Mus musculus: one gene and its partners. The main gene of each other region encodes a partner of the protein of the gene in region 5 in a complex. Links are inferred from orthologs where the notes say so. Each region holds a gene or a part of one and is shown on either strand. Other genes may lie near its edges.

Region 1 (4,124 bases), on a different chromosome or scaffold from region 5:
GCATCGGATTTCTGTTCCCCCTTAGATGATCTGGTTATAAAAGTAGGTTTTTTTAAAAGGGGTTGTTCTGACCTACTCTTTCAGAATTGAGTAACATTTACATTTTTATTCTGTAGCCTGCCCCTGGTCTCTTCCCTTCCCTGACTGTCTCCCTGGCCTCCAACTCTGGACAATTCTTCTATCCTCCTGAGGGACCCCCCAACCTCATCCAACAGCAGCCCCACCCAGCACAGGCCTTACAGGCATGGCTCTCCACACCTGGGGAAAGGTGCTTTGTCCTGCCAGCGGGTGCCTGGGAACAGCAGGAACAGGGGCCCCCACACGGAACAGCTGCTGAATCTTGTAGCAAACAGTGGAGTAAATCGGTACAACTGGATCCAATTCCAAACACAAACTGGCTTAAAAAAAGGAAACAGCAAGTCCAAATTACTTCGGCTTTTTTTTTTTTTTTTTCTTTTTTAGAGGAAATCCTAAAACTGCTGTAGATTGCAGTGTTGGGAAAACAAGCTCGTGTTTCCAGTTTCTGTACCACTACTTCCCCACTCTGAGCTGTTCAACTCAAGGAGTTCAAGCATTCATGCTGACTCAGTTTTGTCCCCACCGTCAGAACAGAAGTATGACCCAAACGGTACGCTGGGCGGACTAGGAACAGAGACAAGCTGATGTCCGCTTGGCTGTTTCAAGTTTACCAATCCATACTCATTTAGTGCAAACATTGTGTTGGTCAGGTCTATGGAGGTACAAAGAATGACCTTTCCAGAAAGGGCAAACCTAAAATCTCAGCAGAAGGTCTCAAGGTCACTGACCCAGGACAACCCTGGAGACTGGAAACTCCTGGGTCCTGATCCGCACCGGAGGAGGTGGGGGTTCGAGGCCGCGTAGTGAAAGAGCTAGCGTGGGCAGTTCTTTTGTACTCCAGCTGGAGTAAAATGAACGCAGGCTCGCGTGTTTTCATCGCTGGTGACAGCATCCAGCAATGGGAGTAGGGCTCAGGGGCGCGCAGCGGTGCTTTCTCAGCAGGGTCCCCCGAGAAGCCGGAGGAGGGGGTGAGCGCTGCGCCAGAGGACCCGGGAGCCCGGAGGCGAGGGCAGGGGGCGCGGGGCGCGGGGCGCGGACTGGGCTGCGCGCCTGTCCAGGGTGCCGGCAAGCAGGAGCCGCGGCGAGGGAAGGAAGTAGGAAAGAGGAAGGAAAGGCGGGAGGGGCCGGCCGCGCGGCTGCAGTTTCTGCGGCCGGCCTGGTAGGAGGAGCGGGAGGAGCGGGAGGAGGATCCCGAGCCGTCCGTCAGCGGGCGCGGGAGGTGGGGAGAGCGGGAGGAGGAGGAGGATTAAAGATGGCCACCAGCAGCTGCGGGAGACGGCCACCAGCCCTCACTTTCCGGGATGTTCCCCGCGGCCCGGCCCGGCCTTGATGGAGAGGAGCAGCCCGTGCAGTGCCGAGGCTGAGGCGGCGGCGGGGACCCGGCGAGGGAGAAGACGCGGCGGAGCAGGGACCCAGGCGGGAGAAGGGAGCGGCGGCGGCGTCGCTGCCCTGGCTGCCTAGCACGGCTGCCGCCCCGGCCCCGCAGCTCGCGGACTGCAGCGGGCGCTCGGCCCCGGCCCGGCCTGGGGGGACTCCCGGGCCCCACGCCTGGGCCCGCGCGTCCGCGGTGAGTGCTGCCTGCCCGCTCGCCGGCTCGCCCGCGGCGCGCTTTGTTCCTGCGGGGCGGAGGCGCTGTCCGCGCGGGGACAGGCCGCGGCCCAGCCGCTCCCCCACCCGCGTCCTCCTCCGGGCCTGGAGAGGGCGCCGTCGGCGGCTGGTCCCAGGCGGCCGGCGGAGGGGCGTGCGGGGGCCTCGGGGATGGGGAGGCGGGGGCAAGGCGACCGCAGGTCCGGGAGGGCGGGGGCGTAACCCGGCGGCGCCCGGGGTAGGTGGGGGTCATGCCGGTCCCCTCGGGAGGACCCTCCCGGTGCCCATTCCCGGACCCCCCAGCCCCCACCCGCGCGCGCCCGGGCGCAGCGGAGCGCGGCCTCCATCCCTCGGGCGCCGTCTCCAGGGCCGCGGGCCTCTCCTGGCTCATCCCTCTACGCTCTGAGCTGCAAACCCTTCCCTGTGGAAGGGACCTGGGATGCTTCTGTCCTGCATCGGGGATGTGGTGGCATCACCGACATTCGCGGTTATGGCGGGGTTGAAAAGGCAGCGGTGACCTTTCCGACCAGAGCCCTCTGGACCATGGTCGCATCGGAGGTGCTGCGTTCCATTGATTTTTTGACTCTTGAATCGGAGAGACAGATGATGAGTTCTTCCTTTGTAGAAATAATAGGATAGAATCAGATCAAGCAGATGTTTACCGAATGCATGGATTTTCAGTACCTCACCAATGGCTAAGTGTTTTTTCTGTGGGAAAAATGGTGCTTATGCATACGAAAAACTATTTTTGTTCACTAATAGCTATGGGTTGGTCAGTACCAAGTGGTTATTATGGTGTCTGAAAACCCAACAAAAAAAGAAAAACAAAACCCTTGCGTCGAGACAGCAGATTCCAGGCTGGCCTCTATCAAGCAGGTTTAGATCAGTTTTCACTGTCAGGATGTAAAGCAAGTAAAAATAACAAAACAATGAAAAATGTACTTATTTACAGGAAAATGGGATGTGGTATTAGTGTAGAGTCTAGGAGAAAGACTATAGTCTGTTAGTGTATAGATCTAGTCAAAGTAAATCCCTCTTTAAATAAAACTGTCATCATGGGACCCTGCTGTGTAAGAATTAGCTTGATATGCATTTAATGTTTAAAAAAAATCTGTATTTCATTAGGTTTGAGAACTAAAACTTTGAGCAGTTCTGCCTCAAGCAACTAGAAATACAGGTTTTTAAATAGTTTCTCTTTTCCTTAGTTGAAATCTATTCATGTAAAAATATGCTTCTCACAAAAATTTCTCTACAAATGTGCTATGAGTTAAGGAACATGAGGCTTTGAAGTAACTTGGAAAGACATGAAAGAAAGTTAAACCGTAGTGTAATATTCCAGGATCAGATTCTGTACTCTGAGGATGCTGAACTCCACAAGTCTTCACTGTTTACCTCTGGTGTCCTAAATATCACCAAGGTGCTGCATTCAGTGGGGTCTTAGAATTTCTAGAAATTATCCTCAGAATGTAGCCTACATCGGGGCTCCCCCACCCCCATTTGATCTGGAACCACAAAAGATGGTAAACAACTGGGTATCGTAGTTTAAAAAGAGTAAATATCCTACCTGGGTATGGTGACTCATACCTGTTGGCCAGGTACTGGGAGGCTGAGAAGAGCGTGAACGTCTAAGTCTTGTAGATGCAGGCAAGTCTGAGGAAAAAAAATTAGTTTGTGTACTTTCCACCTGTCTCTGTCTAATGCTTGTGATGGAGAGTGTATCAGAGTACCACGGAAAGATGGAGAGGATCCCAGGATAGCATGCATGTAAAGTATTCATCCGTGTATTCTCATTCAGACACGGGGAAGATGCTGATCCCATTGTACAGATGGGGAATTAGGCAACTTTAGGGAAAGTCTAGGACCCAGATTGCCTAAGTTTAGAGCCAGTGATGATCAATGTTTTAGGATACCAATTAGATGTGAAGACCGGAATGGCATGGCATTTTGGAGTCATGGGCTTTCAGTGCAGAGGGCTCAGTGACGGGCTTGCTGGGGTGACCCAGGTATGCACACAGCTCTGCAGCCACACCCCAAAGCTCTTCTCGCTGCATCCCCCTCCCCAACCACCCACCCTCTAGTGTTATTGTTTTCTGTGATTCCAATGGCACAGACCCTTGCGTTTCCATCATGACTGTTGTGTAGAATCTGCTTGTCTGGCGTCTGCTCTGAGTCCCAGCCCCTTCTGCACAGCGGATACTTTTCTCGCCCACAGCACCATTCACAAATTAATGGCCGATTTGGTTTTTTTCAGGTTGGGTTTACTCAGGAATCATCTCCATGTAGTGACGCTTTATCTGAATGTGCAGTTGGGTGGTCTGTCTTACAGACAAGCAGAGGCCATTCATACTTCCCTAGGAAGGCCCTTCATGGCCCTTTGCTTAGTCCTCAGATCCTTGGCAACCATTAATGTCCTCTGTGGAACACCGTCCAGATGCCTCGTGGTGCAGAATGTTGCCTTT
Region 2 (3,508 bases), on a different chromosome or scaffold from region 5:
ACCTGTACTCCAGGAAGGGTGGGCATCCAGAGCTACTAGGTACAGGCAACTCCCTACAGAGTGTAGTAGGGAGAGAGCAATTGTTGGGAGTTGCAAGTAGTTGCCACATTACATCCCTACATGCTCAAGCAACTGTCCATGACCATGGACGATAACCCTCTCTGCAGGGCCAGCTGGGGATCCTGGACTCCAAACCTAATAAGGACAAAGATGAGATGGGATACTGCAAGCAGCCCGGGCCAGGAATCCCTTGGTGCTCTCTGCTGTCTTCCTGTTCACGTTCCTTCACTTAGGTCAGATGGATGGTCATATAATGCATAGTACACTCAGCCCTCTTAGCCCCCCACTTTATCCCTACTATAGCCTCACCTCTGATAAAATAACTCCAATAGGTAGACTGCAGTTAAAACACAGGTATTAAATCTGTAAACAGGCTGTGTCAAGATAGTGCGTTTAATATGAAGTGATGACATTACAGAGCATACCCCACAGGAAGAATCAGAGCTGGGAGATTTGAACAAAGAACAAAGCTTGGATGGAGGGAAATGATGGGGTGCATGTCATTAACAGATGTAAAACAGGAGGCAAATGATGGGGTGCGTGTCATTAACAGATGTAAGACAGAAAGTAAAATTATTCAGCGCCATACTTCCTGCACCTTCTTTACTGAGGAATTTACCTTCAAAATGAAAAAGCCCTAATAAGATCATTAGGAGGATGAAGCTTGGTGTGAGGGACATGCCTGCAGGTAATGGACAACTTCCACCGCCATGAGAGATGAGACGGAGGCAAATCCAAGGCAAACAAACTCCACCTTATCTGATAAGCCACTTAGGGGGTTTCTGCCACTTGCATCTTACCCATAAACTAATTCACAAGAACCCTGTGTACATCCCACACAGTATGTTTCTCTTTAGATCCCAACAATATGAAACAAAGACAACTGTGTCCCAAGTTGGCTACCCTGCAGTTCCTCCTTACTGGACTACACCTCTCACACATTAAGGCTTCAAACGTCAGCATCCCATGCTAGCAACACTCATCATGTGTCCAGGGTCCCCCTGCAGGGCTATGCACATGGCCCAGGTGTCCCCAGCACACTGCTCTCTTTGTTTTCATTGTTGCAGACTCACTCTACAAAAGGCTTACCTTCAATTTCCCTTCAGTCTGGCTTTCTTCTTTTAAATTCATATTGGATGACTGATGGCCAGAATAATAAATATTTTATCTTTCTACACCTTTTCCTCAAGAAGAATATGCCTCTTTTAAAGTAAGGCACGTAAGACACCTGGAGCCTGAATTTAGTTCTTAACTCTTTTGAACAGAGTGAGGGGCTGCAGTTTTAAGTGTGCTTCATAACACAGCCTAGCCACCAAAATGCACCATTCAAGCCTGTGCACAGAAAGAGGAGTTTTCATAAGCAAACTAGAAACCCTGCAGACAGTGAATGTTCAAGGATATTTAAAGACAAAAGCATAAATCAGTATGAGCCTACTTTCTTGGTTTTAGACATTACCATCTATCTGTCCAGGATAATCATCTGATAACGTCTGAAGGTTTCATAATAAGCAAAACTGCTAAAAGAAACATGTTCAGGCAAAGCAGGATCGATGGCACTAACTCCAGGGTAATTCTCTTACTACACCTTGTACAGCTAATCCAATCACCAATGCATCTAACCCTATTCCCTATTCCTCCGATTTGCTGTGGGGTTCCCCCTTTCCCATTGATAGGATCACATACACTTGTAGCTAGGATTGAAGGGCAATGACAACAGGCATTTCCATGCAAAATGAGAAACATATGTTAAATGTCAAACTTAGAGTAGGACAATAAAGGGGGAAATGGCTTTAAGAGCTCACAGACCTCTTGTTTCTCCCTTTCAGATTCAGTTCATCTACCTAATTCTTATCCTTTGTAATGGAGAAATATTGAAGCTGACGTGTTTACTTTGGATTGCTCAACTCAAGGTAAAAGGTTTCATTAGCCGTGTTTTTTTGAGCTTTCACTTTCTTCCAGTGCAAGAAGCAGTTTAGCAGATACTTCCTTCTGTATCCTGATGCAATAGAGCCATCGCTTATGCTCCATATATAAAGAAGAGAAGAAATGGGGATGGAAAAATATTAATCCTGAATTCTAGAAGACTCCTAGAGAAAGTTTCATTGTAGACATCTTAGAAATTAATTTTTGTGTTTTTTAAAAGCACTTAAATACTAGAAAAATCAGTAGAAGAAAAACTTTGGTATTTTTAGTAAATACAGCTGATACTGAAAGGCTTAATAACCACACCATCCATTCTAACCCTAAAATAAAAATAAAAATAAAAATAAAAATAAAGAAGTAGAGGTAGACACAGCTCAGTGCTGAAAGCAGATGACAACCCACCTTTCCAAGTCAAAGCTCAGTTCTCAGTAAACCTGAGGCTTCGGTAAACATCACAGGCCCACATCACACCCTGGCCAGGGCAGGGCCTCTGAGCAGCTCATCTGCCTTGGCAGAACTTCTCAATTTGGATCCTTTGTCAAAGAGAAGCAGTGAAGAAAGGAAATTCCCTCACATCACACAATTGTTTACATCGTTTACATGTGCACCTGAAGAGGATAGAAGTTCTTGATAGGCACAAGTTCAAAACACTAGCCATGGGGTGAATGAGATTAAGGCAGGTCCATTAGCCACAGCACCCCACCTTCACACTATGGGGCACCATCAAACAGTGTGATTTAATTACTATCTAAGACCTCCACATGTAAATTAAAAAGGCATAAACTCTACTCCCATCTCCCTTCCTCAACATAATAAAAGGAATATTTGAGAATTACAATTGTGAACTTGAAGACCAGTTGAAAAGTAATGCTGCTATAAGCAGGGTGGAGGGGTCTCAGAAAAGCCTCAGACTCTCCTTGTAGCTGAAACGTAGACAGCAAGGAAGAACCCACACAGGTACCTGCTTCTGTGATAGAAATGAAACACTCACCTTCTCGATGTTTATCTGGTGTTTTCTTAGCCTCTCCAGGTCTGTTGGGATCACGATCTTAGTGAATTTCTGTATCGCTGGCTCAAGCCTGCGTAACTTCACCTTTTCCTCATCTTCAGACATCCTGAAGCCTGATGAGCCGCTACTTCCTCTTGCAGCAGCTCTCTTCTCTCAAACAGAAACACCTAAAGGGGAACATTGAAGAACGCTTTTACAACAGATTCCGTTCTTTTTAAAAGTAAACACATACAAGGCTGGAGAGGGTAAGAGCACTGGCTGCTCTTCCAGAGGAACCAGGTTTGGCTCCCAGCACCCACGTGATGACTTGCAACCGTCAGTAACTCCAGTTCCAGGGCGTCTGACACCATTTTCTGGCCCTTTCTGGCACTGCACATATAGTGCATAGACATACTCATAGACAGACACTCATACACATAAAATAAAATTTTAAAACATAAAAGGCAAAAAATATGCAATTATACTTTACTCTAAATACATATAAACCCAAAACTGAACGTGTATAGCTTTGTTTCT
Region 3 (3,945 bases), on a different chromosome or scaffold from region 5:
ACTTAGAAGGTAGAGGCAGGGGGATCAGAGTCCAAGTCCTGCTTAGGCTACATAGTGAGTTAAAGGCCAGTCTGAACTACATGGGGCCCTACCTAAAAAAAAAAAAAAAAAAAAAAAAAATAGTTCCTGGCTACATAAGATCCTGTCAAAGGGACTGAAAAGGAGTGGGAGGAAGAGAAAAAATTTTTTCTGATAGAGAGATAAATAAAACAAAGCCCAGAGAGCTGGAGAGATGGTTCAGTAGTCAAGAGCACCGACTGTTCTTCCAGAGGTCCTGAGTTCAATTCCCAGCAACCACATGGTGGCTCACAACCAGCTGTGATGGGATCGGATGCTCTCTTCTGGTGTGGCTGAAGACAACAACAGTGTACTCACATACATTTAATTAATTAATTTTTTTAAAAGGCCCAGCGAAATAAGATAACTACCTAAAGTCTCACAGCTAGTGAAAGACACAGGTAGTATTTGAACCTAATAGCATCCGTAATCACTACAGTTCTACAATCTTTTTTTTTTTTTTTTTTTTTTTGGGTTTTTCGAGACAGGGTTTCTCTGTGTAGCCCTGGCTGTCCTGGAACTCACTTTGTAGACCAGGCTGGCCTCGAATTCAGAAATCCGCCTGCCTCTGCCTCCCGAGTGCTGGGATTAAAGGCGAGTGCCACCACGCCCGGCTCAGTTCTACAATCTTACCATGAGATTGGGCAACCCTCAGATGAGGAGGACCTGTGCCTACAGGTCTGCCCCACTACTCTAACTCCCCTTTCCCCTAGACTCTTGTTCAAACTCAGCATCACTAGCCAAGAGAAAGAATCCTGTCCAGTGAGACCACATGTCAGTGATAGACAGTGGAAGAAGGAAGCTGTCAGATCCAGGGATCCCTTGAGGATAAACACAAGCTTTGGACCAAGATCCAAGCCTTCAAACCCAAGCCTCCTTCCCTGGACCAAGACAACAAGTCTCCTGTTTTAGGGATGGTGATATCAAATTGGGAACATGAATCTACCCAATAAAGCTATAGCTTAGTGGTGGTGTGGCAATGCAGAATACATACAATCAGAAAAACCTCAACAGGTAATATCCAAAAATATAATACACAGGAAACAGGGAAATCAGACACAGGCCCTGGTCTCTGGTCCCTGTAGATCTCTGGTCCCTGGCATCAAACTTTTGCATGCATTTCCCAGGGTTCACACTGTGCACCAGTCCCTGCAATGAGCCTTTTCAACTGTTGACATGTCAAGTGAGAAGCTCCCTGGTGGAGATCATACAGAAGTGAGTGACAGCCAGGAGAGATGGTAGCAACCAGCCAGCTATGACTGCCCCCCTCCTTTGACCACTAGGAGAGCCTCCTGGGTTTTCTTTCCTAGCCTGCTGGCTTCCTGGTTCTCAGATTCCTGGCTCTGCTCCAGGAAGAACCATTCCCTTAATACTACAGAGGCTGTGCCTAGAATAGCACTGGAGGCCTAAGCCAACCCTAGCCCAGGCCATTCTTGAGCGACCCTCAACCTGGGAAGGACTCCAGATCTACTTACTTGGAAAGTAAGAGACATCCTTCTGTCACTCTGGAAGCAGCCTCAGGAAACAGCATAAGCTCTGCATCACTAATGCCAGGGAAGGGTCTGGTTCTCCCAGCTGACAGCTCTGATGGGAGGCCCACAGAGGGAACTCCCAACTCCCTCTCAACAACATCTGCCCTGGAGACACCTGGAGGCAGGCAACTAGTGACTCACCTTTCTGTGGTCAAAACAGCTGGGAGACGGCCATTTATTGGGTTTTGAAGTAGAAAGAAGGCAGAGGAGGTCAGGGCCTTGTAAGAGACCCAATTTTCAGAGACCTCCTGGGAAAATGTCCAGGATCATGAAGACTGAAGCATCCCATCAAATTGTGGTTGGTGCTGAACCCAAGATAGGGTCCTCAGTAGATGTATGTAAGCATGTAGCTTATACTTCAGCTAAGGAATCTACCACTTAGTGAGTGTGATTCTAATTGGCTGAGATCTCCAGTAAACTACGTCTCTCTGAGTCTCAGTTTCCTCTTCCGTGAAGTGGGGCTTAAGACCCTCAATATTTGTAGGCTGAAAATGACATCAACTCAGGCTCTGCACACATGTCAGGGATTAGAAGGATGTTATTATGTTAGGGGGCGGAGCCTGAAGACAGAGGGGATCCGCTACCATCTGGTAGTGTCTCCAGGACCTGGAGTCTGAAGCTCCATCTACTTACCGCCCTCTCAACTTAAATCGAGCTTTGCTGTCCTACCCTCTCTCAGGTCACAAGGAAAAAACAAATGAGAGGCCTGACCCCAGTCCCTAGATTAGCCCAGGAAACCGCCGAGTCCCTTCGGATCCCGCTTGTCTTTCAGCGTCTCTTCAACCCTCGGCCGGCTGGGCACGACATAGCGCCCACCGGGTCACCAGAGGACAAGCACCCATGCAAGCCTGGAAGGCGGGGCTGGCCTTGGTGACGTCTCAATGTCATATGCAAATAAAGCAACGTCATGGCCTACCGGCTTGGAGCAACCAATAGGGAGCCAAGAACGCAGCTCCGGCTGCCGCCGGCGGAGACAGACAAAGAACGGGAGAGGGGGGCGCAGGGCGTGTCCTGGGGGTGCCCGGAGCCCCCAGCCCGGAGGTCGGGACTCACCTGGGGCCGCTGCAGCAACCGCTGCGCTGAGGTAGTTGTGCGGCCGGGCGTCCCCGGGTCGCCGGTGCTCACAACTGGAGCCGCATACCGGGGACGGGCCGAGAGACGGCGGGGCTCCCGAACGGACGCCCGGAGCTGCTGCGGCCGCTGCGCCCGGGCTCAGGGCACAAATCCGAACGCTTCAACAGCTGATTGTGACGTCACAAAGGGGCCCGCCCGCTCGCGTCAGCGGCCGTCGGGACGGCAGCCAATCACAGGCGCCGAATGCTCTTTCCCCGCCCCTCCGCGGTTTGCCAGCGGGTGGCTGTAGCCCGGGAGCTGCTCTCGGAGCCTCTGTCTGAGTGGAGGTGACGGCCCGAATTCCCTGCCCCCAGTTACCCACAGACCTCACACTGAAAGCGACCCCCCAATTCTTCCTCAAGAATCCCACCTCGCTGCTTTTTCCGCACACATCCCTGCTCCCTCACTTGCCCCAGAGCTCCGCACATCCCTTCTCCTGCATCTTAGGTGCAGGACACCCACCCCACCCACCCCCGCCGCGCTCCATCTGTAAGTCCCTTTTACCCTCCTTGTCCTTTTACCCCACTTCTCTACACTGCCCTACTTGCCTGCTCTCCCTCCTCTATGTTTTTTGTTTTCCCCGCTCCTTTTTACGGTGGGCTTGAGCGGACCTTGCCCCTTCCGCGGTTACAAAGGAGCACCTGCGAGTGTTAGAGAATTGATGGGGCTGACAGGAAATCTGGCCAGCGTAGGACTTGGAAAGAAATTGCTCTAAGCTGAATAAACATTGACCTGGAGACAGCTCGGCTTAGAACGTTTACATACCTTATTTAGTCCACGTTGCTACCGGAACAGGTCAGGGGGGAAAGAGTGACAGACAGGGCAGGGATTGTTAGTCCTGATTTACATGTGGAGAAACTGAGATTACATGTACCTGCCTTTCATCTCACCACTTGGTAGATAGAAATGGGTTCAAGAGTTTGAAAGGCAGCTTGAGCTACAGGAGACTCCGAGGGAGGGGAGGGAAAGAAGAAGGGGCACCTACGGTTGCTTCTTCCAGACTGCCAGCTGACACTGAACACTTACCATATGCCAAGCACTGTGCTGCCTTTTAATCTTTACAATAAACCCAAAAGGTAGGTAGCATCCTCCTTTTACAGTTAAAGAAACAGACCAGGAGAATCTAAGCAACTTTCCGAGGTAATTAAGGAATAGTCCTTGGCAGAGCCAGGAGTTTAACTCACAGGTACTAGCCTTGACTCTGATCACACCCTACACCAGAGGGACTGAACTCCAGGGTTCT
Region 4 (4,267 bases), on a different chromosome or scaffold from region 5:
TTATTTCATTGTGTTAAAGCAGTGTATCATTTAACCCAGGCTGGCCTCAAACTCACTATGCAGCTGAGAACTGAACTTTTGACCCCTGCTTCACTCACCGTCTTGGGTACTAGGACAAAGCAGAAGGCATCAAGCATATGTGTCAGTGGCACAGGACTGGAGGGAGGGTCAGGTCAGTCACAGGTCTGTCAAGATCATGTTGAACTTGGGTGTCCTCCAGTGGGACCTTCACCAGCAATGCTGAGTTCTGTACACTGCCTGGGGGACAGGGTGGAGACCCAGCTTCTTGACCTCAAGTGTCATTGCTTGACTGAGTTCCTCTCACTGCAAAGGAAGCACGCCATTTTTGTAAGGATTCCTTCTGCGCAGTTCATAGTCTTGTTTCAGGGTTCCCAATTCCTCAGTTTGGAAACACCTCCCATCCCCCATCCCCTACAGGTACTGTTCTTCCTCCTCCAGGCAGCAGGCAGAGTCACATGATTTGAGTCAGAGGACTCCAGATCCAAGGGTCCTGCTTATCTCACTAGAACTATCACCATAGCCATCTGTGTCCTTTTTCCTCCTCAAACGGCACCCCTTGCCTTCTGCCGTTTATTGCAAAAGCCAAGTCGTTTGTGGGAGACCACAAGAAGTGACTCCTTTCATTCTCCAGCTTAAGAGAAAGAGAAAAAAAAAAAAAACAAAAATCAAAAAACCCCTACTTCTCACCCAAGAAAACACGCTTACACTCACACCCCTGAGACTTCTGTGTTTCCTGCTCTTGAACCGTGGACAGCCCTAAAAGGTTTAAAAGCATTTCTGTCAAGATAGCTCAGGGTCACCCCTGTTGGCTTCTGACATTTCAGGGAGGCGAAATGACTTGTATCATGTCACACAGGCTGCAGGGAACTACGGGACGAGAGGAGAAAGCTGGTACGTTCTCTATGGCCTGAACAACTGTGGAACCAGAATGCAGCGAAACCTCAGGATCCTGGCTGGCCCTTGACCTTATCCTGAATAGGAAACGCTCGCCATCGGTGGGCGTTCCCTAGGTGCAGGACAGACGGAACGTGAAAGTTGCAAATAATCCTTACTTCTTCCCTCTGACCAGAGAGGATGGGAAAGGGCCGAAGCTAAGGACCCGTCTCGGTCCCGCACCGCACGGTTAACACCTGGTACCGCTCGCGCGGATTCTTTAAACGACTCCTAGCGAGCCAGAGACTCTCAGCAGCAAGGGCGGGGTTGGGCTGAGGTTCAGTCACGTGACCGTGCCTGAGTGGGCTAGCGGCCCCCACCCCACCAGGGGGCGTCCCCCACAACGCGTGGTCGACCCTCATTGGCCCATAGTGCGACCAATAGAAATCAGCCATCTGGGATCCCAGCGTTCCGAGCCACAGCCTAACTTGCTGAGCCAACTGGGAAGCAATGGAAAGGGACAGCTGTAGGTCTAAACCAGTCAAAAGGACCGAGGGGCGGGCTCAGCGGCTGTGTCAGGTTCGGGTGAGAGGTAGGTGAATATAAATTGAAGCGGCGGTGGCCGCGTCCGTCAATACCGCAGAGCCGCTGCCTGAAGATCGTCTTAAAAGGCCTGTGTGCCGCCGCCCCCTCGGCCCGCCATGCTCCTTTCGGTGCCGCTCCTGCTTGGCCTCCTCGGCCTGGCCGCCGCAGACCCTGCCATCTATTTCAAAGAGCAGTTCTTGGACGGAGGTAAGGTCTGGGCCCGTCTCGAGGCCGCTTAGCGACTGCTGGGCCCCGAGACCTCGGCTGCCTCGTCGTGTGTAATGTAATTACCGTTCAGAGGGCCAACACTGTGGCCCCAGAGGGACTAGGGCCGCGGGCGGTTCCATGTGTGCGTCCTTGTGGGACTAGGAAGGCTCAGCCGTTTCCCGCCCCCAGAGTTAGGATTCGTCCAAGGACCTGAAGCCCATCGAGATGTCAAGTTTGAGGTTGGGATGGGAATCCCCTTCCCCACCCCCACCTGCTTGTAGCTCCTGACAGACGTTGGTTATGGGGGCGGGGGTCGGACGGCCCCGCTAATCTGACTCTATGCCCTTCCCTTTCAGATGCCTGGACCAACCGCTGGGTCGAATCCAAACATAAGTCCGATTTTGGCAAATTTGTCCTCAGTTCTGGCAAATTTTACGGGGACCTGGAGAAGGATAAAGGTACAAGGGAGTGGGTGCAGGACAACTTCCTGGAGGAAGCTGTAGTCAGCACATACATCTTGTTGGGGCTTTTCCCAGGAACACGGGAGCCAAGGACAGGTGGAGGAAGGAAGGGAGGTCAGCCGTGCCCCTCTAGGTCTAGGGTATTCCGGGTTCACCTGATGACAGTCCCATTTCATCACAGGGCTGCAGACAAGCCAAGATGCCCGATTTTACGCACTGTCCGCCAAATTCGAACCCTTCAGCAATAAGGGCCAGACACTGGTGGTACAGTTCACGGTGAAGCATGAGCAGAATATCGACTGTGGGGGCGGCTACGTGAAGCTGTTTCCGAGTGGTTTGGACCAGAAGGACATGCATGGAGACTCAGAATATAACATCATGTTTGGTGAGGGGCCCCCAGCCAGTGCTGACCTCTGCCGGTTGGACAGTGGGTGCAGACTGAAACCCTTTGTAACCAGAATGCTGATCTTCATACCATGGAAAGCACTTGAATGATGAAAATTTTTGTCCTGAAGGACAACTTTATTAGTTGGTGTACAATATTACTTGAAGACTTATATTGTTCATTTGTATGATATTTTCTACGTGTTAATAATTTTAGAAATGATGCTAATGACAGGGTCTAAAAATCAGTGAAAAATCTGAGCATGTGCATATTTCTTCTGTACTCAAGTATGAAAGGGTGTGCTAGTGTGAAGGTCAGAGGGCAACTTTGGAAATCTCTTTTGTCATCTGGGTTCTAGGATCAAATTTGGATTGTCAGGCTTAGTGGCAAGTACCTAATTTACCACTGAGCCATTTGCTGGCCCCAGAATGGTAATCGTTTCAGATTTGTAGTCTTTTATGCCTTTAATGGATGCATTGAAGTCAGATGTATAACTGTTCCTGAACAGTTAGGACTTTGTATAGAGAACCTGTCTCAAAAAAACAAACAAACCCCAACCAAAACAGGTTTTTATTTCTGGATAGCGATGGCTGTGTATATGTGTAATTCCAGCATTCAGACCACTGAAGTAGATCAGAACTTTAAAGGCAGCTTCAGTTAAATGTAACAGTCTCCTCTGTCAAAAATAAAATAAGAGCTGGAGATAGAATTCAGTGGTTTCAGAGAACACAAGCTCAGTTCCCAGCACTCACACAGTGTCCTGTGACTCCCGTGCCCACTTCAGACCTCTGCAGGCTCCTGTGTATGCATGGTATATAGTCACAAATAGATGAGGTTAGGTCTCCCTTTCTCAAAGGATAGAGCCTGCCATCAGCCTGCATATGCTTCCTACATAGGTCCGGACATCTGCGGTCCTGGCACCAAGAAGGTTCATGTCATCTTTAACTACAAGGGCAAGAATGTGCTGATCAACAAGGATATCCGGTGTAAGGTGTGCCTGGGGTAGTCATTTAAATGGCTGTCATGGGAGGTCCCGGCAGCCTGGTGGGAGGGACTGCTCACCTCCTTCCCTCTTCAGGATGATGAATTCACACACCTATACACACTGATTGTGCGGCCAGACAACACCTATGAGGTGAAAATTGACAACAGCCAGGTGGAGTCAGGCTCCTTGGAGGATGATTGGGACTTTCTGCCACCCAAGAAGATAAAGGACCCTGATGCTGCCAAGCCGGAAGACTGGGATGAACGAGCCAAGATCGATGACCCCACAGATTCCAAGCCTGAGGTTAGTGTTGGGAGGGTAGCTCCACCTCTGTCATAGAATGGAGGACATCTGGGTCCACTTTGACCTCCACGTGTACTCCTAGGACTGGGACAAGCCAGAGCACATCCCTGACCCTGATGCTAAGAAGCCTGAGGACTGGGATGAAGAGATGGATGGAGAGTGGGAACCACCAGTGATTCAAAATCCTGAATACAAGGTAGGCTTGGGTGTTTGGGTGTGGCTCCCTGGTGGGATGTTTCCTTGGGTGCTATGATTAATGTTGCACTGCAGAAACAAACCAAGATAGGCCTTGGGGTCCTAGTCGGGGTTGTTGGCTGTACTGTGGGATGTGTCTGCCTCTCTATTCATCTGGTTTTCTTCTACAGGGCGAGTGGAAACCACGTCAAATTGACAACCCAGATTACAAGGGTACCTGGATACACCCAGAAATTGACAACCCTGAATACT
Region 5 (4,216 bases):
AAAGGCTGACTTGGACTGGGTGGTAGTGGTGCACACCTTCAATCCCAATGCTCTGGAGGCAGAGGCAGGCAGAACTCTGTGAGTTAGAAACCAGCCTGGTCTACAGAGTGAGCTCCAGAACAGCCAGGGCTACACAGAAAGACTATGTCTCAAAAAACAAAACAAAACAAAACAAAACAAAACAAACAAAAACAAAAACAAAAACAAGCTGGGCTTGGAAGCGCAAGCCTTTAATCCCAGCACTTGGGAGGCAGAGGCAGGTGGATTTCTGAGTTCGAGGCCAGCCTGGTCTACAAAGTGAGTTCCAGGACAGCCAGGGCTTTACAGAGAAACCCTGTCTCTGAAAAAAAAAAAAAAAAAAAGAAAGAAAGAAAGAAAGAAAGAAAGAAAGAAAGAAAGAAAGAAAGAAAGAAAGAAAGAAAAAGGCTGACCTCACTGCCCGGTGTGGTGGCACACGCCTTTAATCCCAGCACTCGGGAGGCAGAGGCAGACGGATTTCTGAGTTCAAGGCCAGCCTGGTCTACAAAGTGAGTTCTAGGACAGCCAGGGCTATACAAAGAAACCCTGTCTCAAAAAAACAAAAAACAAACAAAAAAAAAAGAGGCTGACCTCAAACTCACTATACTATGTAGTCAACAACTTCCAACTTGATACTGCTGCCTCGGCCTCTACCTTCCTCTGCTTCCACAGTGCTGGGACTGAAGCTGTGCATGATCATGCCCCACGTTCAGTGGTTTTGAGGGTTTTTAATTTGGGGATTTTTATTTTTGATTGTTTTATTTTTATTTTTATTTATTTATTTATTATTTTTTTTTTTGAGACAGGGTCTCACTACTAAGTATCTCTGACTAATCAGGATAGACTCAAACTCAAAAGAGACCCACCAGCCTCTGACTCCTGGATGATCGGATTAAAACTGTGTGCAGAAACAGCTGTGCTTTGGATTTAAAGGATCAAAGGTATGTGTCACCATTCAGGATGAGGACTTATAACAACTCTAACACCAGCACTCAAGAGGCATAAGCAGGAAGCTCTCTGAGTCTGAGGTCAGCCTGGTCTGTGTGTCAAGTTTAGGGCAGTGGTGGCGCACACCTTTTGTTAAGCCCAGCCCTAGGGAGGCAGAAACAAGTGGGTCTCTGGGAGTTTAGAGGCCAACCTGGTCTACAGAGGGGATTCCAGGACAGCCAGGATTATACAGAGAAGCCCTGTCTCCTAAAGAAAACGAACAGAAAGTAACAACAACAACCACCACTCCTCAAACGCAATCTATTCTTTGACATCTGGGACTCTTGGAGAGACTCACTTAGGTAGTAAGTCCCAGTCAGAACAACTCCACCAGTTCATACTCCTCCCTATTCTCAGCGCTAGTAAGATCCCACGGCAGGGCTGTACTGACATTTTAAAGTTAGCCAGCAGCGACCGCTGGCCTTTACTTTCCTCTCCAAACACTACCGTTCCTTCCAAGGTACTGTACCTGGTACAGCTGACCCATCGTGGCACTGGTGGGTGGAATGACATTGTTGACAAAGAAAAACAAGGCATCTTCAGCACGGAGATGAATTCGCTTCCGGATCAAGAAGTAGAATTGACCAACTGCCAAAAACAGGAGATGCAAGCAAGTCACAGAGGTCGTAGGCGCCTCCAGAGAACAGCTGCCAGGTGAAGCCTCCTCCCACAGAGTTGGCAGGCCCACCCACAGAAAGAAACGTGCACCACAGGTCAAGCCCTCACCTGTAAGATCAGAAGGCACCAGGTATTTCTTTTTGTCCAGGTCTCCTATCCGAGCTTTGGGGGCTTTTTCCACTATCACCTGATAAAAGGTAAGAATGAGAAAAATGAATATATATATATATATATATACATACATACACATATATATGCTGCTATATCGATGAAGAACTCAACATACAATATTCCCTTTTACTGAAACCTACTGGAATCTCATTTCTCTAGTTATCCTTATATACGTGGTGCACACAGCATTAGGTCCAAAGCTCCTGGCCTCACTCTTACCTAAATATTGAGAACTGATCCTAGAACGGCGCATCACAATAACTATTTTCACCAGAGAATACAGGATGACTTGTTTGGGTCAAAAATCTACATTAAATCTAGCTAGTTGGGAGGATGGCCATGGAAACTCTGGGTTGTCAAGCTCACTAAGGCCTCTATTCTGAGAAATACCCTGATCTCTCTCTCCCGTCCACATCTTAGTCCCCAGCTCTACTTCAGGTGAGAGACCTCTGGTACCAGAGACAACAGAGTTCTAACCCCACGACAGACAGAGCCTGACTTCAGCTTTCCCAGACTCAAGCATAGCCTGTGGCGACAGCGTCAGCGACGCTAGCCTGGGCCCTGGCTACTGTCCTTACCGGGACCCGGTCTGGGTATTTCTTTCGGATTTTCTCGCCCTCAGAGCGGCGCTTCTCGAACGGATGCTCCTCTTTGTACACGAACTTCATTCTCCCGAGAACCGGGCTGGACCGAGCTGGGCTGAGGGAACCCAGGGGGGGGGCCGGGACAGGGGGCGGCGGCGGAGGCGGCTTCGACGAACAGACTTGGCGGAGCGATCCACGAATTTGCGCCACTTCCCTATTCATCAACCCCGCCCCCGACCATCGGACCGGCCCCGCCTGCTAACATACGCCACTAGCTCAGCTTGCTAGCGCAACCCGTAGCCTGGTCCTCTTACGCCTTCAGCGTAACTGCTTTGGAATCAACTTGTGGGTTACACATATGACATCGCAGATAAGGTTGCTGTTGTTTCGAGTGAACTGAAAAACCCTTTCCCACAGTACAAAGTTGAGGACGAAACTGGTACCCAGTGGCAGTCATGAGATTTAGTTCTGCAGTTCTCGGAAATTACGTTGGGGAAAGGCAGACAATTACAAGTCTAGGATTTCATGAGACGTGTTTCTACGCTGAAGGTGGCCGTTGACACCAAAACAAAGTAGTACCCAAGCTGTGGATATGGACACCATAAGACAGAAAGGAAAGAGGTTTGCAGACACCCAGGGAATGCTCAAGGCTCAGGCTTATGTGAACCAAGAGAAACTGCAAAAGCCCCAAAGATAAGGACTACACCAGAGCGGAGGAACACATTTCTGAGTGTAGATAAAATCATGTGACCTCAGAAAAGGGCGGAGAATCACGTGGCGGGTGGCGAAAAGTAGTCCCGGCTCTGGAGAGGAGGTGCCAGGAAAGAGGGTTCCGCCCCAGGTTACTGCTGGAGTGCCAACACCTCGTAGGCAGCGCCCTCTTAGCCTGTCCACGTCAACTTCCCAGACAAGCCCAGCCTTTCTCCAGCTGTATGCCCTTCCAGGGTTCTAGAGTTTTCCCTCTTTAGCCTTCTATATCCTACTTTAAAGTTGTTGGTCCACTGTCCATCAGGGACTCCATCCAGTCAGTGGGGCCTTTCCTGCCGAACACTGAACATAAACTACTTTATCCCTGTGCTAAATCCCACTTCCCCCCAACTCCAAACAGCATCTTCTCCCTCTGCTTCAAGGACAGAGCAGATGTCAACAAAGTTCCCTCCATTTCCAAAAACATCAGAGAAGGGTCTAGGGCAGCTTTGGTTTCAAAGTTATAATGCATGGTTTAAAAGAGGAAAGAAGAAAGGAGCCGATTACAGGTATGGGGGATTGGGGAAAGAAAAAAAATGAGGAAAAGTAAGGGGGGGACAAGTCTGAGGAGGATCCAGTGGCCCGAAACCCCAGTCCCCACCCACAGCCCAGCCCTTGGAGCAGGAGTGAAGAATTAGATCAGTTTTGTATAAGAGTTTTTAAAAAAATCAAATCACAACAAAGTTGAATTGGCTTCTTTTGAGCCTCTGGGATATGTCTGTCACTCTGGCCAGTCCTGCCTCTTCACCAGACTGTTTCGGCTCCTCTAGGCCTTCGCCTGTCCCAGTCTGGCATTTCCACGGAGTGTGAACCCAGAGTGAGGCTGCTTCACGGTCTGGCCCATGTGTCCATCCAGACTCCATAAGTGGAGTGTAGGGCTCCCAGGGCAGAGGGGTGGGAGGGGCAGACTCTGCCCAGGCAGTCCTCACATTGGACAGGGCAACAGACGGTGTCCCAAGAACTCTCCCTCCCTTTCCCCTCCACCCCAACTCAGGTGGAGGGGGAGCAGCTGTCACCAGAGCCTATGTTGGTGAAGGTTTCGGCTCAGCACCGATCGGACATCAGCAGTGAACCTGAAATGACAGTAACTG

The links.
Region 1: the proteins of Gabarap (region 5) and Wdfy3 are in contact, whole or in part, in a crystal structure (PDB 3WIM), measured with the Homo sapiens proteins. The link is inferred for Mus musculus from reciprocal best matches to the Homo sapiens genes GABARAP and WDFY3. Residues at the interface, in NP_009209.1 of Homo sapiens: Glu17, Ile21, Lys24, Tyr25, Arg28, Pro30, Lys46, Lys48, Tyr49, Leu50, Val51, Pro52, Asp54, Leu55, Leu63, Lys66, Arg67, Phe104; in NP_055806.2 of Homo sapiens: Glu3342, Lys3343, Asp3344, Gly3345, Phe3346, Ile3347, Phe3348, Val3349, Asn3350, Tyr3351, Ser3352.
Region 2: the proteins of Gabarap (region 5) and Stx17 are in contact, whole or in part, in a crystal structure (PDB 7BV4), measured with the Homo sapiens proteins. The link is inferred for Mus musculus from reciprocal best matches to the Homo sapiens genes GABARAP and STX17. Residues at the interface, in NP_009209.1 of Homo sapiens: Tyr5, His9, Lys13, Glu17, Lys20, Ile21, Arg28, Pro30, Lys46, Lys47, Lys48, Tyr49, Leu50, Pro52, Leu55, Gln59, Phe60, Phe62, Leu63, Lys66, Arg67, Phe104; in NP_060389.2 of Homo sapiens: Ala169, Glu170, Ser171, Trp172, Glu173, Thr174, Leu175, Glu176, Asp178, Leu179, Glu181, Leu182.
Region 3: the proteins of Gabarap (region 5) and Trp53inp2 are in contact, whole or in part, in a crystal structure (PDB 8T31), measured with the Homo sapiens proteins. The link is inferred for Mus musculus from reciprocal best matches to the Homo sapiens genes GABARAP and TP53INP2. Residues at the interface, in NP_009209.1 of Homo sapiens: Tyr5, Glu17, Ile21, Tyr25, Arg28, Pro30, Val31, Ile32, Lys46, Lys48, Tyr49, Leu50, Val51, Pro52, Asp54, Leu55, Gln59, Leu63, Arg67, Phe104; in NP_001316358.1 of Homo sapiens: Glu31, Val32, Asp33, Gly34, Trp35, Leu36, Ile37, Ile38, Asp39, Leu40, Pro41.
Region 4: the proteins of Gabarap (region 5) and Calr are in contact, whole or in part, in a crystal structure (PDB 3DOW), measured with the Homo sapiens proteins. The link is inferred for Mus musculus from reciprocal best matches to the Homo sapiens genes GABARAP and CALR. Residues at the interface, in NP_009209.1 of Homo sapiens: Glu17, Ile21, Tyr25, Arg28, Pro30, Val31, Ile32, Lys48, Tyr49, Leu50, Val51, Pro52, Leu55, Phe60, Leu63, Ile64, Arg67, Phe104; in NP_004334.1 of Homo sapiens: Asp199, Trp200, Asp201, Phe202, Leu203, Pro204, Pro205.

What each region holds. Positions count from the first base shown.
Region 1 is NC_000071.6:102,067,117-102,071,240, reverse strand, and holds the start of Wdfy3 (WD repeat and FYVE domain-containing protein 3), read left to right. Parts: upstream 1-1,319; 5' UTR 1,320-1,645; intron 1,646-2,879; exon of another isoform or gene 2,880-4,124. UniProt on the Homo sapiens protein: Required for selective macroautophagy (aggrephagy). Acts as an adapter protein by linking specific proteins destined for degradation to the core autophagic machinery members, such as the ATG5-ATG12-ATG16L E3-like ligase, SQSTM1 and LC3.
Region 2 is NC_000070.6:48,131,416-48,134,923, reverse strand, and holds part of Stx17 (syntaxin-17), read right to left. Parts: intron 3,162-3,508; exon of another isoform or gene 3,160-3,161; 5' UTR 3,098-3,159; coding exon 2,975-3,097; intron 2,587-2,974; exon of another isoform or gene 2,386-2,586; intron 1-2,385. UniProt on the Homo sapiens protein: SNAREs, soluble N-ethylmaleimide-sensitive factor-attachment protein receptors, are essential proteins for fusion of cellular membranes.
Region 3 is NC_000068.7:155,380,715-155,384,659, reverse strand, and holds the start of Trp53inp2 (tumor protein p53-inducible nuclear protein 2), read right to left. Parts: upstream 2,805-3,945; 5' UTR 2,643-2,804; intron 2,465-2,642; exon of another isoform or gene 1,731-2,464; intron 1-1,730. UniProt on the Homo sapiens protein: Dual regulator of transcription and autophagy. Positively regulates autophagy and is required for autophagosome formation and processing.
Region 4 is NC_000074.6:84,844,127-84,848,393, reverse strand, and holds the start of Calr (calreticulin precursor), read left to right. Parts: upstream 1-1,462; 5' UTR 1,463-1,595; coding exon 1,596-1,686; intron 1,687-2,042; coding exon 2,043-2,144; intron 2,145-2,328; coding exon 2,329-2,532; intron 2,533-3,428; coding exon 3,429-3,523; intron 3,524-3,610; coding exon 3,611-3,820; intron 3,821-3,902; coding exon 3,903-4,016; intron 4,017-4,185; coding exon 4,186-4,267. UniProt on the Homo sapiens protein: Calcium-binding chaperone that promotes folding, oligomeric assembly and quality control in the endoplasmic reticulum (ER) via the calreticulin/calnexin cycle.
Region 5 is NC_000077.6:69,989,959-69,994,174, reverse strand, and holds the start of Gabarap (gamma-aminobutyric acid receptor-associated protein), read right to left. Parts: upstream 2,806-4,216; 5' UTR 2,463-2,805; coding exon 2,373-2,462; intron 1,811-2,372; coding exon 1,732-1,810; intron 1,594-1,731; coding exon 1,475-1,593; intron 1-1,474. Other genes in the region: Ctdnep1 (CTD nuclear envelope phosphatase 1), read right to left, coding at 4,138-4,198. UniProt on the Homo sapiens protein: Ubiquitin-like modifier that plays a role in intracellular transport of GABA(A) receptors and its interaction with the cytoskeleton.